Arabidopsis thaliana: one gene and its partners. The protein of the gene in region 1 interacts with the protein of each later gene in a biochemical or structural test. Each region holds a gene or a part of one and is shown in the gene's direction. Other genes may lie near its edges.

Evidence for each region. The genes of interacting proteins can lie anywhere in the genome.
Region 2: the proteins of DCL1 (region 1) and AT1G07705 form a complex in vitro, tested with the Arabidopsis thaliana proteins (one study listed by BioGRID).
Region 3: the proteins of DCL1 (region 1) and VIP2 form a complex in vitro, tested with the Arabidopsis thaliana proteins (one study listed by BioGRID).

What each region holds. Positions count from the first base shown.
Region 1 is NC_003070.9:21,436-26,416, forward strand, and holds the start of DCL1 (dicer-like 1), read left to right. Parts: upstream 1-1,980; 5' UTR 1,981-2,083; coding exon 2,084-3,016; intron 3,017-3,106; coding exon 3,107-3,220; intron 3,221-3,316; coding exon 3,317-3,527; intron 3,528-3,605; coding exon 3,606-4,000; intron 4,001-4,088; coding exon 4,089-4,308; intron 4,309-4,389; coding exon 4,390-4,562; intron 4,563-4,645; coding exon 4,646-4,768; intron 4,769-4,856; coding exon 4,857-4,981. UniProt on the Arabidopsis thaliana protein: Ribonuclease (RNase) III involved in RNA-mediated post-transcriptional gene silencing (PTGS). Functions in the microRNAs (miRNAs) biogenesis pathway by cleaving primary miRNAs (pri-miRNAs) and precursor miRNAs (pre-miRNAs).
Region 2 is NC_003070.9:2,379,718-2,386,669, forward strand, and holds AT1G07705 (NOT2 / NOT3 / NOT5 family), read left to right. Parts: upstream 1-1,837; 5' UTR 1,838-2,037; intron 2,038-2,277; 5' UTR 2,278-2,372; coding exon 2,373-2,390; intron 2,391-2,505; coding exon 2,506-2,614; intron 2,615-2,686; coding exon 2,687-2,865; intron 2,866-2,964; coding exon 2,965-3,013; intron 3,014-3,122; coding exon 3,123-3,332; intron 3,333-3,629; coding exon 3,630-3,836; intron 3,837-3,924; coding exon 3,925-4,026; intron 4,027-4,408; coding exon 4,409-4,497; intron 4,498-4,595; coding exon 4,596-4,748; intron 4,749-4,854; coding exon 4,855-5,280; intron 5,281-5,389; coding exon 5,390-5,442; intron 5,443-5,519; coding exon 5,520-5,561; coding exon of another isoform or gene 5,562-5,565; exon of another isoform or gene 5,566-5,852; coding exon 5,853-5,991; intron 5,992-6,070; coding exon 6,071-6,139; 3' UTR 6,140-6,440; downstream 6,441-6,952. Other genes in the region: AT1G07700 (Thioredoxin superfamily protein), read left to right, coding at 580-1,065, 1,154-1,207, 1,297-1,410; AT1G07710 (Ankyrin repeat family protein), read right to left, coding at 6,558-6,952.
Region 3 is NC_003076.8:24,055,574-24,062,594, forward strand, and holds VIP2 (VIRE2 interacting protein 2), read left to right. Parts: upstream 1-1,804; 5' UTR 1,805-2,583; coding exon 2,584-2,598; intron 2,599-2,706; coding exon 2,707-2,815; intron 2,816-2,897; coding exon 2,898-3,076; intron 3,077-3,157; coding exon 3,158-3,530; intron 3,531-3,973; coding exon 3,974-4,168; intron 4,169-4,284; coding exon 4,285-4,383; intron 4,384-4,671; coding exon 4,672-4,760; intron 4,761-4,862; coding exon 4,863-4,943; intron 4,944-5,094; coding exon 5,095-5,505; intron 5,506-5,593; coding exon 5,594-5,646; intron 5,647-5,743; coding exon 5,744-5,785; coding exon of another isoform or gene 5,786-5,807; exon of another isoform or gene 5,808-5,849; intron 5,850-5,874; coding exon 5,875-6,013; intron 6,014-6,103; coding exon 6,104-6,163; 3' UTR 6,164-6,509; downstream 6,510-7,021. UniProt on the Arabidopsis thaliana protein: Transcriptional regulator required for Agrobacterium-mediated stable genetic transformation by T-DNA integration in host genome, but not for T-DNA transient expression.

The sequences.
Region 1 (4,981 bases):
TTTTCAATGTCGCTTGCTCATTTGATACGCTAATATAGGGCTTTGCTTAAGATTTGAATGGGCCGTACCCCCATTTTGCTTCATGAGAATGGGATGGTAATAAAGAAAAAAATGACAGGAAACAATGAATTGGTCACGAAAAAATGTTGTATTACTTTTTCCAAAATGCACCTTTGAGAATCTTAAGATTCAATCATACAGTGAGGTCCATGTCCACAATAAGAAATCAAATACCAAACAAAGTATAAACGTGAATTGTAAGCTAGGCAGTGTATGAAGATGCATTTGTCTTAAAGTTACGAATCTGATAAATAATATTATTCGATCGACTTTAGATCGCTTTCCATGCAGATTTATGCAATTATCTGGAAGAAGAACAAAACAATATCTTAGTTTCTTCGGCCTCACTATTCGACTTCTATCTTCAATATATTTTCGCGTATTTTTTTATTTGAATTATTTGGTTTTTGGTTAGTTAACTAAACGAGCAACAGAACCAAGATCGAATTGCGTTTGCCGTTTGGATTCAATTATTGTAGAAAATTCGACTTTTCAGACATTTGTTACGTTCTTTCTAGTAGTTATATTAGTTATTATATGTGGAGTGGAAAGAGATGAAAGTAGATGTAAAACATAAGTGATTTCTTCATAGTGATTTTAAAACTTTTTGTTGATTTTCAAAATTATATAATATCCATAAAAAATAGCCTATGCGTGTTGGATGCTTACAAAGAAGAATTTGTTTTCGGCGTTAGCCAAAAGTCGATGGCATTTGCTAAAGGTGTTATTTGAGTGGAAATGATCTAGAACAAAAACGCATTGATATACCACCACTATAATGATTTGGAGACGTATCTAGTTCTCATCAACTTTTCAATAGTAAACGCATTATCAAGGTAAACGAAGAGTTTTGCTTTATCAGTGTACCATACACACATTAATAGATTGATGGACGTTAGTGACTTTGGTATTGACTTTAACGCCAAATGGACATCAATTCTGCAAGGCAATGCCTAGTTTCAAAGCAGCGTTACTTAACATTTAACTAAAGGTAGTGCAAACTGGTTAATACTTTTTAACGGCTTTGCAGGAAGAGTCTCGACTAAAAGGAGAGGAAGAGATGAGATCGACGAAGATTTTCATATCATAAAAAGTAATATAGGTTTTTGAAAATAGTTAGAATAATTATTTTTATTTTTATTTTTATGGGAAAGAAGTTGCACGAGTCGGTCCACAGAATGACAGAACAAAAGCATTTTAGAAGTTTAGAACCAACCAATCACTATAGTTTTCCACTTGTCCGTATCTCATTGGTTCATCGAATATTAACTTACATGGAAACAGTAAAAAGCGTGGAATAAGTCGTAAAACTGAAATCTAAAAATGAAAAGATTTCGATTTCGATATAAATACTTAATCTTTATAAAATAATATCGAAATCTTTTCATTTTTAGTTTTCAGTTTTACACTTTTACTTGATAAATTTAATACATCTGTTAATTTTTTTTCTTCTAAAATTAACATATGATATCTATTCGGGAGATAACCCTAAGAAAACTGATAAAATAAATAAGTTACTTTTTACAAAGTCGAATAAATTATTTACCCTTCTGCTTTAATGGCAATTATCTTAATATTGCAAAAAAAAAAAGAGAGAAATATTACTACAAAACAGAAGCAAGCAAGTGGAAAACAGACCAGAAGAGAGAGGAAGACGAAGAGAGAAACAGAACAGAGTAGGGATCGATAGACCGTGGAATCTCAGAATCACAAACACTTTGCAAAAGGGTTTTCAATTCCTATTTATTTACAAAGAAATCATCAATAGTAGTGGTCTCTAGGGTTTTGCTTGCTCTTCTTCGTGACCCCTTTTTACCTGCAAACAACAACTTCAAAATTGGCGTGTTTCGTACGGTCTATCTAACCCTAATCTGTCACAAAACACTCTTCTTCTCTCACCCCTTTTTCTGGGTTTATTCAATTCTCGTGCTTTTGGTTCTGTTTTCTTCTCTGGGGATTTGGTTTTCTTGAGTGAGTTTTTCTCCTCTTTCTTATGTTCTTGATTTGATTATTATATAGAATTATGGTAATGGAGGATGAGCCTAGAGAAGCCACAATAAAGCCTTCTTATTGGCTAGATGCTTGCGAGGACATCTCTTGTGATCTTATCGATGATCTCGTGTCTGAATTTGATCCTTCCTCTGTTGCTGTCAATGAATCCACTGATGAAAACGGCGTCATCAATGATTTTTTCGGTGGGATTGATCACATTTTAGATAGTATCAAGAACGGTGGAGGCTTACCAAACAATGGCGTTTCTGATACCAATTCTCAAATCAACGAGGTTACTGTAACTCCTCAGGTTATTGCTAAGGAGACAGTGAAGGAGAATGGGTTGCAAAAGAATGGCGGTAAGAGAGACGAATTCTCGAAAGAGGAAGGAGACAAGGATAGGAAGAGAGCTAGGGTTTGTAGTTATCAGAGTGAAAGGAGTAACCTTTCAGGTAGAGGGCATGTTAATAATTCTAGGGAGGGAGATAGGTTTATGAATAGGAAACGTACTCGTAATTGGGACGAGGCGGGTAACAATAAGAAGAAAAGGGAATGTAACAATTACAGAAGAGATGGTAGAGATAGAGAAGTTAGGGGTTATTGGGAGAGGGATAAAGTTGGTTCCAATGAGTTGGTTTATAGGTCAGGGACTTGGGAAGCTGATCATGAAAGAGATGTTAAGAAAGTGAGTGGTGGAAACCGCGAATGCGATGTCAAGGCAGAGGAGAACAAGAGTAAGCCTGAAGAACGTAAAGAGAAGGTTGTGGAAGAGCAAGCAAGGCGATACCAGTTGGATGTTCTTGAACAAGCTAAAGCGAAAAACACGATTGCTTTCCTTGAGACCGGTGCTGGAAAGACACTTATCGCGATTCTTCTTATTAAAAGTGTTCATAAGGATCTGATGAGCCAGAACAGAAAAATGCTCTCGGTGTTCTTGGTTCCCAAAGTGCCTTTGGTTTATCAGGTACCGCCTAATAAGAAACATGTTTGTATTCTTTTTTAAAAAATTGGTTACCTATTGGTTTTGGTTGGTTGATTTATCTTACGTTATCAGCAAGCAGAAGTGATCCGTAATCAAACTTGTTTTCAAGTTGGACATTATTGTGGTGAGATGGGACAGGACTTTTGGGATTCTCGAAGGTGGCAACGAGAGTTTGAGTCTAAGCAGGTTGCTTTTTGATGCTTCTTTTTCATACCAGCTTTGATCTTTTATATGAATCAGTTCTTGAAGTTAACGAGTTTTTTTCTATTTTCTTCTACGCAGGTTCTAGTTATGACAGCACAAATTCTGTTGAATATACTGAGACACAGTATCATTAGAATGGAAACAATTGATCTTCTTATTCTCGACGAGTGTCACCACGCTGTCAAGAAACATCCATACTCTTTAGTGATGTCAGAGTTTTACCATACAACTCCTAAAGATAAAAGACCTGCCATCTTTGGAATGACTGCTTCGCCTGTTAATTTAAAGGGTACTGATTGTTTCTTGTATACAGTTCTCTAAGCTTGCCAATGTTCTTGAAAGTGACACTTTTTGTTTGTAAACGTAGGTGTTTCAAGCCAAGTAGATTGTGCGATAAAGATACGTAACCTCGAGACCAAGTTGGATTCTACGGTTTGTACTATAAAAGATCGAAAAGAATTAGAGAAACATGTGCCTATGCCTTCAGAGATAGTCGTCGAGTATGACAAAGCTGCTACTATGTGGTCTCTTCATGAGACAATAAAGCAAATGATTGCAGCTGTTGAAGAAGCGGCACAAGCAAGTTCAAGGAAAAGCAAGTGGCAATTTATGGGGGCTAGGGATGCTGGAGCAAAGGATGAATTGAGACAGGTTTATGGCGTCTCTGAAAGAACGGAGAGCGATGGTGCTGCCAATTTGATTCATAAACTTAGAGCTATCAATTATACTCTTGCTGAATTGGGTCAATGGTGTGCTTACAAGGTAAAAAAACAACTTAGTAAATAGTTTTCGATAATTTGAAATGGATATGTTATTTTCATATGATATAATTTTTGTGTCTTCTTTCAAGGTGGGACAATCATTCTTGTCTGCTTTGCAAAGTGATGAGAGGGTGAATTTCCAAGTCGACGTGAAGTTTCAAGAATCATACCTCAGTGAGGTGGTGTCACTCTTGCAATGTGAGCTTCTGGAAGGCGCTGCTGCTGAAAAAGTCGCGGCGGAAGTTGGCAAACCAGAAAATGGTAATGCACATGACGAGATGGAGGAGGGAGAGCTCCCTGATGATCCTGGTAAGTATTAATCACATTCTTTGTCTAATCGCTTTTTACCGGTTTTAGAAATCCAATATTAACAGAGCTCTATGGTTTTAGTGGTCTCGGGAGGGGAGCACGTTGATGAAGTAATAGGCGCCGCAGTGGCTGATGGGAAAGTTACTCCAAAAGTACAATCATTGATCAAACTACTCCTCAAATATCAGCACACAGCTGATTTTCGAGCTATTGTTTTCGTTGAGAGGGTGGTTGCTGCTTTGGTTCTTCCTAAGGTTAGGATTAAAGTGAAAAAAACAATTTATTTTCTTGTGTATAATTTTTCTGCCTATGTCTCTCTGAGCCTGGAAATTTTCAGGTTTTTGCGGAGCTGCCTTCGCTTAGTTTTATACGGTGTGCCAGCATGATTGGACACAATAACAGCCAGGAGATGAAATCATCTCAAATGCAGGATACAATTTCCAAATTCCGAGATGGGCATGTATGATTTTTTTTGTCTTTCATTAAGACATATTTTTTTTTTATCTTATACTGAAATGTCTTACTATTTCCTCTTTCTACTGTGATAGGTGACACTGTTAGTTGCCACAAGCGTTGCTGAGGAAGGACTTGATATTAGGCAATGTAACGTTGTTATGCGTTTCGACCTTGCAAAGACGGTGCTGGCATACATTCAGTCTCGTGGCCGGGCAAG
Region 2 (6,952 bases), 2.4 Mb from region 1:
TACAGAAAAACGGTTTGTACTTTCAAAAGAACGCAACTTTTATTTCGAAAGTTCGATCCTTTGGGTCCATAGTATTGACGGGTGAGTAGATTACAATTCTGATTGCTTTAGGGTTTTTGCCGATTTGGGGATGGTTGATCTTTCAGTTGAATCCTTAATCTGATTTGCTGACATTAGAAGGTTCATTCCATGTTTTGTCTTAATCCCCATCTAGTTGCCGAAAGGGTTTAGATTTTGGGGTCATTGCTTGAAATTTATGCTTCAGATGCGTTGATCTTGTACCGTTTAGAACTCTGTGTTGTACTCGGATTCAAAGTTGTTCCCTTTACATGTCATATCTCTGTTTTGGTTATTTTCATGCCTCACCATTGAATTCTTCGTTTCAGGCCACTCAACCAACTACGAGTGCTATCTTTCACCCCTGAGTTCACTGAAAGTGTTCCTGCTTGGTTTGCTGATGAGCTATTGCTTGTGGAGTTAGTTTAAATATCTGCAAATGTCAAGTCTTCTTAATGTACTGCCACATATCCTTTATATCACTATTACCTATGTAACTTCTAGGATTATTTCAATGCAAAGATGACCCCCCTGCTTTGGTTCTGCTTCAAAATTTTGATTTTTGATTCTAATTTGCAGATATCTCACTGTAGCTATCATGGATACTCAGGACTCACTAGTAGGGGAGGCATAAACACTGTTGAAAACCATAGATGGGTCTGGCACAACAACGGAGTCAGGTTGTCGTTTCCAAGAGCCGAGTCTTCTATAAACATCACTATGGGTTGTACGCTTCAGCGTGGGATAGCAAAAAGCTTAAGTCAGGAAAACCTAGTGGAGTTATCTGATGAAAATGATGATCTATGTCCTGTGGAGTGTGTCACTGAGTTCAAGACAGATGATGAATTGCTTAGCGTTCTTGAAAAGTCGAAAGAAACTAATTCTTTGGTTGTGGTTGATTTTTATCGCACTGCATGTGGGAGTTGTAAATACATAGAGCAGGGCTTCTCAAAACTGTGCAAGCAATCTGGTGACCAAGAAGCTCCTGTTATCTTCCTTAAGCATAATGTGAGTTTCTGATCTCTCATCTTTGATGTATAAACAATAAAGAAGTAGAGAAAAAATCCATTAATAGCTCTAATGCTGCTATTTGCAGGTGGTAGATGAATATGATGAACAATCTGAAGTCGCAGAAAGGCTCCGTATCAAGGTAATCCCTCTTTAGAATTTTGGTACTAACAACACTCAAAAATTAACTGAACAGCGTAGTAAAGAGTTTGATATACTACAATCTTACAGGCGGTTCCTCTCTTCCACTTCTACAAAAACGGAGTTCTCTTAGAATCATTTGCAACTAGAGACAAGGAGAGGATCGACGCAGCTATTCTCAAATATACATCCTCGGAATCTTGAAGAACATTCGACAAAACCGCACTCTTTGGGTTACCTTTCCCAAATCATTGAATATGATGTAACTTATATTGAACAACACAGCATCATCCTTCTTCTTGTAAGATGTCATACTGAATAAGACAGATGCAACATTTTGATCTCTTTCTTTTGTTTGTTTGCCTTTATGTCTTCATAACCCACATACTTATAGTATATATGTGCAAAATCTGCAGTGACAGCTTACTAGTTTTGGTTACTTGATAAGTATTTTTGGTCCCCGCAAGATCTTTAAACCAGATTGCAACTTGTCTCATATGGTATGATGATCAATTAAGAAACTATCTCATTCGGATATAGTCAACCTAATTTTATTAGTCACTATAATTATTGATAATTTACCTTAATAACATGGTTAATTACTAGTAAACCCTGAAAGTAAATAAAATTACTATGTAGAGAAAAAAAAGGTCCCTTTAATTTGTTCGCCTCCGAGGACGGGGTCCTAAACACATAAGACTAAAAACGGTCAGTAGTACAAAAAGATCAGATTTTTTTATTCCGATTTCTTCTCCATCTTCGAGAATTTCGTTCCTTGGAGCTTCGAGATTGAGTTTCTTTGTTCATCCTTTGGGTCCATATTCTTATCAGGTTCTAATTTCGTTTGACTGCTGATTATAAATCTGAGTGCTTTAGGGTTTTTGTTTATTTTCCGATTTCGCAATGGTTAAACTTTCTCTTGAACCCTTGATCGGTTGTTGAAAGGGTTTTGATTGTTTGTAATGTATGATTCAGATACGTTGAAGTTTTACTGTTTATAGTTCTGTGATGAATCCAAAGTTTGTTCCTTTCCATGTATTTACTGTCTCACCATATAATCCTTCTTTTCAGGTCACGACTGCAATCTCACATTCCTGAGCTCACTGAAGGGTTCCTGCTTGGTTTGCTTATGAACTTTTGCTTCTGGAGTTGATTAATCTCTGCAAATGTCAAGTTTACTTAATGTACTTCTTCCACATATCTTTATATCAGTGTGTTGCAGTATTGTCAATGTAGCTTCTAGGATAAATAATGTTTATCAGTCGTTCTGACTTGTGGTTATTTCAATGATATCCTCAGTCCTCAATAAACGGGTCTACCTCGAATTTGTCAGACGGTTCAGGGAGGACGTTTACTTCTTCTTTCTCCGGTCAGTCTGGGGCAGCGTCTCCAGTTTTTCATCATGCTGGTGGGTAGACGTCTCCGGCGCTATTTCTTTCGTAATTCTTCTGAACTTATATTGGTTTTTTTCTTTTTATAGGATCTATTCAGGGCCTTCATAATATTCATGGAAACTTTAATGTTCCCAACTTGGCGGGAAGTCTTGGATCGAGAAATTCAAGTCTAAATGGTGTTCCATCTGCTGGTGTCCAACAACAAAATGGAAGTATTTCGAATGGAAGATTTGCATCCAGCAATATTCCGGTTGCACTCTCTCAGGTGCAGTTATGCTTATGTGTTGGTATCCTAAAAATAATGCAAATATGAACCCTTGCTTTGGCTCTGCTTAAAAGTTTTCTTTTGGATTCTTATTTGCAGATGTCTCATGGTAGCTCCCATGGACACTCAGGACTCACTAATAGGGGAGGTATAAATACTGTTGGAAAACCTTAATTCAGTAGTTACACTAATAGGGTGGTTCCATTCCTGAACTCTTCCTACCTCTACCACCATTGGTAATTGGTTTACTGTTCCAGGATTGGGAGTTTCTCCAATATTGGGAAATGTAGGTTCTCGAATGACGAGTTCTATGGGGAATATGGTTGGTGGAGGCACAATGGGTAGGACTTTGAGCTCTGGTGGAGGATTGTCGATTCCGAGTCTTGGTTCGCGGCTAAATTTGGCAGTAAATAGCGGATCCGGAAATATTGGACAAAATCGCATGATGGGTGGGGTCTTGCCACAAGGTACTTCATGATTTATATCCTTTTCTGCTCTTTGTTGAAATAGGTTATGCATTTGTATGGTTTTAGTTGATTTACAATTCCGTTAGTATTGATGTTAAATCCTTTATCATTAAATGAACAACACCGGATTTCTACTAGTATTTAGAAATCATTAATCGAATAACTCATGATTTTGTTTGAATTTCCTAATCAGTCGAACTCCAGTAACCAAATGGCCTCATGTTTTCCCCAAATTTCTCGTTTCGTCACATCGTTTATGATATCTTTACACTCTTATATTCTTTCCTTTCTCTTCAGGATCTCCGCAGGTTCTTTCGATGCTGGGAAATTCTTACCCTTCAGCTGGAGGACTTTCCCAAAATCATGTTCAAGCAATGAACAGTCTAAGCTCTATGGGTTTGCTGAATGATATGAACTCCAACGACACTTCTCCGTTTGATATTAATAATGATTTTCCTCAGCTCACAAGCCGCCCCAGCTCTGCGGGCAGTCAAGGACAATTGGGTAAGTAAGAAAAACCCTTTAATTCTATCTTCTTTCTTTTATTGGTTTGAAGCAAAACTATACTCCGCTGTTTTCTGAAACTTCTTAGGGTCTCGATTGAAACAAGGCCTTGGAATCAGCCCTATAGTTCAGCAAAACCAAGAGTTCAGCATCCAAAATGAAGATTTTCCAGCATTGCCAGGATACAAAGGTCACCCTTCTGATCTGCAACTTTTTTAAAATGGTCCAACTGGATAGAAATTGTCTCAATTTGGGTCATATTTGTGTGCATTATGGAATTTGACATTCATACCCCAAAAGGAACCATCTACCTTCCACATTCGCATAATATTTGGTGTTGAGAGATTTGAGAGTGATTTTGTAATCACACCCAGCTGAATTACTAATGATCTGCATGATCCAATGTGACATTACTCTCTTAATATCTCATCATAATACTAGTACAGAGTCTGTCTATTAAATTTTCCAACACGTTCATGGTGTCTGCATTCAAATTATTTGTTGTTCGTATAAATAGATTTTAGATTAAGGTATAGTCATCAGTCATGACAAGATTGATCGGTTTTATACAGGTAGTAGTGCTGATTATCCAATGGATTTGCATCATAAAGAACAACTCCATGAGAACTCAGTTTTAATGATGCAATCTCAACAATTATCTGTGAGTAGCTTGTCAAAAAATGTCATTGGGTTTAATTCTCTTCCATTGAAAGTTTTCCTCAAAACATTTACCTTATCCTCTAGTGCGGCTCCTTGCAGATGGGAAGGTCTGGTGGGTTTAACTTAGGTGGAGCATATACATCACACCGTCCTCAACAACAGCAACAACATGCTCAAGCTGTGAGTAGTAGTGGTGTTTCCTTACATGGGTCTGACATCTTCTCATCTTCGCATCCGCCTTACCACTCACAGGTATGATGTAGTCTGTAATATTTTAAAACAGGCGGAGATCATTTAAGGTTTTATTTCATGAAACCAACGTTCTTGTTCTTTCTAAGGTATATTTGATTGGTTTCAGACTGGTGGAGCTCCGGGTATTGGATTAAGATCTATGAATTCTGCAAATTCTATCACTGGGATGGGTTATGACCAGCAGCTCATCCAGCAATATCAGCACCAACAGAACTCAGCCCAGTATCGCTTGCAGCAGATGTCAGCTGCTAGCCAACCTTTCAGAGATGTAGGATTAAAATCAATGCAATCGACACAGTCAAATCCTGATCGGTTTGGCTTACTCGGTTTGCTCAGTGTGATAAAGATGAGCGACCCTGACTTGACTTCTTTGGCACTTGGTATTGATCTGACAACACTGGGGTTAAATTTGAACTCAACAGAAAATCTTCATAAGACTTTTGGCTCGCCTTGGTCCAATGAACCCTCTAAAGTTGATCCAGAATTCAGTGTACCGCAGTGTTACTACGCAAAAAACCCTCCACCTCTACATGTAATTTACTCTAGTCTCTCATCAGTACCATCATTCATTTGTCCATCTGGGTTTGTGTTTTCTTTTCATTAGCTGTTTTTAACTTTTAATTTTTTTTTGGTGGATGCAGCAAGGGCTCTTTGCAAAATTATTGGTAGAAACATTGTTTTACGTATTCTATAGGTATATGTCTTTGGAATTGAAAGTACTTGTTGATTCACTCTCTTGTCAAAGGAACCATAACAATTTTTGTCGTGCAGCATGCCGAAAGATGAGGCGCAACTCTATGCGGCTAATGAACTGTAAGTCCTTTTCATCATAATATATTTTTGTTTCTCTAGTATTGTAAATATGAAAATGCTTCTTCGGAGTTTTTTGTTCACAGTTGTCATATATTAAACTTGGAATATAGATTGAAGATGAATTTGTCTTCACATTTGAAAAAGAAAGGGAATATGAAAGCAAAACATCAACTTTTGATTCCATCTTTCTTCTCCATGACTTGAAAATGGGTTTCTGTCTTAATTTCCTGGTTTGGTATCAGATTGCAATGCACTGAAGGATAAAGCTGCATAACTCTTATTGTTTTGCAGTTACAATAGGGGTTGGTTCTACCACAAAGAACACAGGTTGTGGTTCATTAGAATCGGGGAACCTCTCGTGAAAACAAATGCGTATGAAAGAGGATCATATCACTGTTTTGATCCAAACTCATTTGAGATCGTTCAAAAGGTGAGTACATCCAAATTCTGCTCATCGTATCTTTCTTCATTTGGCCTCTGAAGAATACCCCAAAATCATTTCTTTGCAGGAAAATTTTGTTCTCTATTACGAGATGCTGGAAAAAAGACCATCCATTTCTCAAGATTCTCAACATTGAGTGTAAACTATGCCTTCTTCAGTATTTATAATGTAACTTTCCTACCAAAGTATCCATTGGTTAGGAAATTCATAGAACAGGAACCAGTATCCAACATGTATTTTTCTCGGAATTTAGCTTTTTGGTTTATTTAACTCCTGGTAACTTTTGTTGTTGATCATATATAGCTGAAATTCTTCATGCTATAGGTTAAACCAATGCACATTTCTTCCCCCATTTAGAATCGGTGTTACATTAATGTTACTCTCTTCCTTTCTGCTCTAATCCTTATTCGATTTCTCCTGTTCGAAGCATCTCAGGTAACTCCTCCATACCAGTGCTTCACCCGCATCAACTCATTGAATCAACCGTATCAGAAAAAGGTACATCAAGTTCTTGCCGTGTACATAAATGTGAAAACGGATTGAGTATCGTCAAGTCAGATTGCATACATTTTCTTACACTCGTTCTGGAGAATATCAGAATCCGTAAGCTGGGGAATCCCCCAGGATCCAGATATACTGTTGATGGAGGATCTTCTAATGTTTCTTAAATTGGCAGCTTCGATCTTGTGCTGTATTATCCAGTAGCACATCGTCCCTAACGTCGTAATCATTATAGTTGCCCCGATAGCAGTCACCCAAATGGCTAGCCACTTCTCTTCTTCACCAACAACAACAAACGACAAAGCCAAAAAGGCAACAGAGATGAGAACACAGGCAAGCCACATGAGTTTGTTTATCACAGCCATCATCTGTTTCTTGGCCTTGCTCTCTATTACCACCACTGATGTCTGAACCACCACGACCGCTAAGGAGATGAAGAGTGCGATCG
Region 3 (7,021 bases), on another chromosome or scaffold:
GGCTATGAAAGTTAGGAAGAAGACGAAAATTTCCCAGATTTTACCATAAAAAACTGCACAAACGTTAGTGGGTATGTTACATTACCACTTTTTAATCTGTAAAGAAATAGCGATAATTTAACTTTTTCTCTACAACAATACTATATATTTTTCTTGTTAATTATAATTATAATTATAATATCATTTTTGTATGCAATCGTCGGTTCGTCACTCACAGTCACATATGCTAAATCTCAAATATATACTTTCTTTATTCCAAAAAATTAAGGATGGTAGTGGAGGTTGGAAAAAAAGTCAACATATGTAGGTTGTGTAATTTTTTTTAAGGATATACCAAACTTCCGACCATATTTATGAAGAAAGCACGGGACACATGATTTTTTTCGGCATCTGTTCATGCATTATAAATAGATTATCATGAGTTTACTATTCCATGTTCGTTCTGTTGGAAGTTCATTTCAAGTTTTTTTTTTTTTGTCACAATAGTCTCATTTCAAGTTTTTGTTACTAGTTAATTGAGCTATTAAGTTTTATACTTAAAGTATCATACACTACTTAGCCTTGAGATTTTTCATAAATCAAAACGAAACAGAAGCTTAAAGATTTTAAATGAAATGAGGTGGTCACATACATATATGTGTCAAAGATCTAGAAGTTCTAGATTGGATATAAATGAAGAATGACGACATTAACCGCCCCTACTTTTCATCTAAATGGAACATGACATACAATAGAGTTTATCTGAAAGGATCGATAAGATGTCGCTATATTTACTAAAATTATCTATAATATGATGAGCCCACTATGTTTTTCTTGACAATTGGGAACTTATAATATAATTCTTGGATATCAACGTATAAATGATCATTTACATAATCTAGTGCTTGTGTTAGTGTCGTGTGTAATATCCAAGTTCAAGCATGTATCATATGTTGTACAAAATAGTTTCAGCCTAAAATGATATTTGTGGACCTGTGTTGTCTACCGACACATTTGTTTGGACAGTGGAAACAACAATTCTATACTATGTTAAAGCATAATCAAGAAGAATAAAATAAAAATTGGTTGAGATGTCGCAAGGAGAATGACTTTTAGATTTGTTTATATTGATTCACTTAAAACAAATACAACATAAAATTCAAATTTACACATATTAACATAAATTGAGTTGTATGTTGTGCTAAGATTACTTAGTGATATTTTAAAGCCCATGCAAAAATAACTTATCTTCTAAAGAAACGGCCTTTTTCTTATTTTTTGTAAACTTTGACAAGCTTAGATCATATGATTGAATTGCATTAATGGACGTTATTTTAATTATCTTGAAAGATCTAACGTCATTTTCATGTTAACTAAATACAAAACATCTTAGCATTCATAGCTGAATAAGAGGCATAGTTACTATTCAACACTTTTAGCTTTAACTACAACCTTCAAAACACACAATTTTGTCGTTTTGTTTGATTTAGGCTTCGTAATCTTGTAAACAGAATTCACCTACTTCAGTATTTCTTCTTTTACACTACGATTTCATGATTCCACAAAGTAAAACATCAACATCATTCTTGATTTGGAAGTAAAATTGTGAATCGTGTATCTAATGGGCCTGGTCAAATAGGCCCAAACATGGATCCGCAAATAAGGAATTTTTCTCCTTACAAAAGACACTCTTTCTGAGTAAGAAGGTTTCGTGGGGCCTGTCGTGACCTCTGAAAGTTCCCTCCATCACCAATCATTCGGCACAAAACTAATATTTATATTTTGTTTCCTTTATTTATTTTATTTAATAAAATATTTATCGATCCCAATTTTCTAAATCTTGCTTCTTCTCTCGTTCCTATATCCGTTTTCCGATTTAGGGCACCAAATTGAATCAAAATCTCCGCTTCTTCCCAATTTACGAAACTTCACGAAAAATCTTCTTCGGATTCTTCTTAACCCTTTCTCTCAATTTTTCTTCCAGAGTTTTCTAATTGGGCACTGTTTCTCTTCTTCTTCTTCTTCTTCCTCCGTACGCATCCTTCTCCTTTTTACTGTTGAGTGTGAACAGATTTAAACAACGTCATTTCTAGGGTTTTCGGAGTTCAATTTTGTTATCTTACTATTGAATTTGCATCGCGATAGCTGAATTTAGGATCCTGTGTTGTTGCTCAGTCGTATTATTACAACTGTTGAATTACGCTTGCGTTTGATTGTTTTTTTCTTTATTGGATCCTCGTGAGGTTTTTTTTTCTTGTTCTGAATCGTTTCCTGGACTTCTGATTTCCTGCTAGAAGTTTATTTCATGGTTGCTGATTCATTATCTTCTTGTTTCTAGATGAAAGTTTACTGTGTATAAACCTTCAAAGGATGAGAATTTCAATCTTACTTTGAACAATATGTAGTTTATACAGTAGCTTCGTCTGTTGTTGCACCATGGTTGATAAGATTTATGTCTCCTTTGTTTGGTTTATTGAATTCTTCCTTTTTTCCAGGCTATTCATTTCTGAGTAATCGTTTATTCCATCTCAGATTGTAGGCGGTTTCGCGTCTTGTCACCGAATGATACATTGTCTCACGTGAGATTGTCAGTCAGTTAGTGCAATGTCAAACCTTCATGTACCTTCCTATTCACCTTGAGAATATTTTTAGTGTGCTTAGGATAACGTTTGCTTAATTATGCGTACCATTTCTCATCCATCAACTCTTGTGCTCTTTCCTTTGTAGTCATCTCTCAATGGTTCAGCTTCGAATTTACCAGATGGTTCGGGCAGATCGTTTACTGCTTCTTATTCTGGACAATCTGGTGCACCGTCTCCCTCTTTTCATCATACTGGTGGGTGTTATTCTTATCTTGACCTTCTTCTATATTTTGCGTCGTTCTGAACTTATATAACTTCTACATATTCTTCATGCAGGAAATCTTCAGGGACTTCATAATATTCATGGGAACTATAATGTCGGGAACATGCAAGGTACACTTACATCAAGAAACTCAAGTATGAATAGTATACCATCTGCCGGAGTTCAACAACCTAATGGGAGTTTTTCCAGTGGAAGATTTGCTTCAAATAATCTACCTGTTAATCTCTCTCAGGTGCATGTTGTTTAAAATTTTGTGAAAAAACGGCTCTTGTTCTTAATCTGTGTCTTATATTATACGATGATTGCTTTGTAGTTGTCCCATGGTAGCTCACATGGGCATTCGGGAATCCCAAATAGAGGTCTTAATGTTGTTGGCAACCCTGGATTCAGTAGTAACGCTAATGGAGTTGGTGGTTCTATTCCTGGAATTCTCTCTACATCTGCAGGACTCAGTAATCGGAATAGTGTTCCAGGGATGGGAATATCCCAATTGTTGGGAAATTCAGGTCCTCGAATAACAAATTCAATGGGAAACATGGTTGGTGGAGGTAACTTGGGGAGGAATATTAGCTCTGGTGGATTGTCTATTCCTGGTCTGTCTTCACGACTAAATTTGGCAGCAAATAGCGGATCAGGATTAAATGTTCAGGGACAGAACCGAATGATGGGTGGAGTACTTCCTCAAGGTATATATGATTTATCGAGTCCTTTCCATTTGCTGTCTTCAAGGTTTTTTTTGCCTTTCATTTGATACAACTGAGCCGAGCCTTGTTTAACTTCTTGTTATAGCATTGTAAATAAAATAGAATATATTGCTTCATGGAGTACACCTTTTTACTGGTCTAGTAGCTAGGAGGTCCTGTGGAAAATAAGTTAGAATAATTAGTCATTTAGGGGGTAGGATTGATATCAGCAGTTGAACTTGTTTTGCTTTTGTAGTCTATACTTCTCTAGACTCACGTGAGTACGTTAGAATGTAGAGAAAGCAGTACTCTGGGATTGTTTGGACTTTGTAAGACGAGCTTGTTTACTTTACACAAAATCTTATTTAATTAAACATGCAATTAGTTAGCAGCTGCTGTATGTGGAAATAGCAGTAAAAATTTAATTGTAAAATTGTATGGTACAGGATCTCAGGTCATGTCTATGCTGGGGAACTCCTATCATACTGGTGGTGGCCCGCTTTCGCAGAATCATGTTCAGTCAGTTAACAATATGATGCTCAGTGATCATCCTAACGACAGCTCTCTATTTGACATCAACAACGATTTTCCCCAGCTGACAAGTCGTCCTGGGTCTGCTGGTGGCACTCAAGGACATCTAGGTAGTCGGTTTATCTGAAGATCTTTTGAAATTCATATACTTAATATAACATAAGTTTTTGAAAAGATTTTCCAAATCATGTCTTGTTTCCTCATACTCTTGCGGTGGTGTTTTTAGGCTCTTTGAGGAAACAAGGTTTAGGAGTTCCACTTGTCCAACAAAACCAGGAGTTCAGCATCCAAAATGAAGACTTTCCTGCCCTTCCTGGATATAAAGGTGCTGGTCTTTTATTGTCGATAACTTTGTATTGTATTGTGCATAAAGTTGGGTCTTGCAGACTTTATGTGCACGTAGTGAGGAATATCGTCTCTAGTTTCCCCTATCTTGAAAAGTTTTCCTCTATGCTATTCTCCAAAATCTCATGAAAGTCCGTTTCCAAGTTCATAAACTTCTTAGCTTCCTTCATATTATAGCTTATTGCATGAGAAAGATGATAAGATGTGCTTCTTAATGATGTAAGCTAAACCTGCTGGATCATTCACAAGCGTAGTAGATTTGTTGCAGGTGGTAATTCTGAGTATCCTATGGATTTGCATCAAAAAGAACAACTGCATGACAATGCTATGTCAATGATGCACTCTCAAAACTTTTCTGTAAGCTTTAGACTGTTTCGAAGTTAACAAAGTGTTGTCCTGCCTTTTTCTGTTGATATGGTTGTTGATGTGAATTAATGTTTGGATATTGCAAATTTGCAGATGGGTAGATCTGGTGGTTTCAACTTGGGAGCAACATATTCATCACATCGTCCACAACAACAGCCACAACATACTTCATCTGTGAGTGGCAGTCTCTCCTATCCCTATATGTATACAAGCCGGAACTTTCTTCAATTTGCATATCTCATATTATTATGGTACTGCATCATGTGGTTGGGCCACACTTGCTCCAACTACCGTATCTTATCATTTAATTCTTATTTAATACCAGACTGGTGGGCTACAGGGTCTTGGCCTTAGACCTCTAAGCTCGCCTAATGCAGTTTCCAGTATTGGTTATGATCAGCTTATTCAGCAGTATCAGCAACATCAAAATCAATCCCAGTTCCCTGTGCAACAGATGTCATCAATCAACCAATTTAGAGATTCTGAGATGAAATCGACACAGTCAGAGGCAGATCCTTTTTGCTTGCTTGGCTTGTTAGACGTACTAAACAGGAGCAACCCTGAATTGACCTCACTTGCTCTTGGCATCGACTTGACGACGCTAGGATTGGATTTGAATTCAACTGGAAATCTCTACAAGACATTTGCGTCTCCTTGGACAAATGAACCGGCAAAGAGCGAGGTCGAGTTCACAGTACCAAATTGTTACTACGCCACAGAACCTCCGCCTCTAACTGTAAGTTCCCTCTGTTGTTGCGAGTAGTACCAACAAAGTATTTTCTCGATTTTGTTAACAAATGTGTCATTATTTCCGTTTGTTGCAGCGAGCTAGTTTCAAAAGGTTCTCCTACGAGTTATTGTTCTACACATTTTACAGGTCTGTTATTAGATCAGCATTCAGCGTCACATTTGCCCAACTCCTAAATTAACCTTGGGCTTTTAAACTTATTACTTTGCTCTAATTATTGTTCCAGTATGCCAAAAGATGAAGCACAGCTGTACGCAGCAGATGAACTGTATGTTTTTTCTCTACTGTAATCTTTGATCTATTCGTTTACTCCGCTCTCTTTGGCTGAGACTTTTGAGTTCGATTGACATGTTGCAGTTACGAAAGAGGTTGGTTTTACCACAAGGAACTCAGAGTATGGTTCTTCAGAGTCGGGGAACCTTTAGTCAGGGCAGCTACATATGAAAGAGGAACATACGAATACCTTGATCCAAATTCGTTCAAAACAGTGAGAAAGGTAAGCCGACGATTATTGCAGGAATATCTATTTCCTTGTTCTCGAATTTGCAGTGTTATGAGTGAATTTTGCTGGTGATGGTTATCGCAGGAACATTTTGTTATCAAGTACGAGCTTATGGAAAAGAGACCAAGCTTGCTGCAGCTTTGACGACAAGTAGGTTTGTTCAATTAGTAGCATCTTTACAATGTAAAGCTTTTCTCTTCATTTCTCTTTCTTTCTTTCTTTCATGCAAGTTCTATTGATTAGAAACCAAAACCATGACATATCACATTTTCAATTTTTAACCCCAAGTTTCCCAAAAAGGTAATCACAATTACTTTCCATGGTCATTTCTTCTGGTTCAAGCATGACATGAACAGGCAATAAATAAGTTGAGATTTTGATCACAGTAACTGATACTTGAATCGAATCATTTAGATTTTTTTTTTTTTTAGTTTACTTGTTTAGTAAATATGTTGTCTATGTTTGTCACAAAAACGTGGCTCAGTTCTTGTATATATGGAGACAAAAAAATCCATTAAAAGATTGTTGACATTCTCGGAAATTTAGTGCCAACTGTTATTGCGAGAACTTACTATAGTTTTCCTTTGGCGAAAAGCTAATAATCTTAAATCTTGATTTTGTCCTCTTTTCTCTGAGTTAGATTTTCTTAAATTCCACTTCCGACCTATTAAGAAATGGGCTTTTGCAAAGAAGATCCGCTTCACTGAGCCCGTATCTCGAAGAGGATAATACAACAACAAAGCAAAACGGCACGTAGTTTTAATTGTAACCAAGGATTGCATTTCGGTCTTGTTTCAACAAACGAAACTTCCTGAAATGCCAAGAAAAATCTGGTCATTTCACCACAGTGATCATTGTGTATGTGTTCTAAAGACTCCAAGCGAAGGTTTTAGAAAAAGGAGCATTTTCTATTCTATTCAAGAAACTCGAAGAACATTCTCTCTTCATCCTCTAACTTCCCTATAAATATGTCCTTTGCTAATCAGATCAAATCAGCAGGAA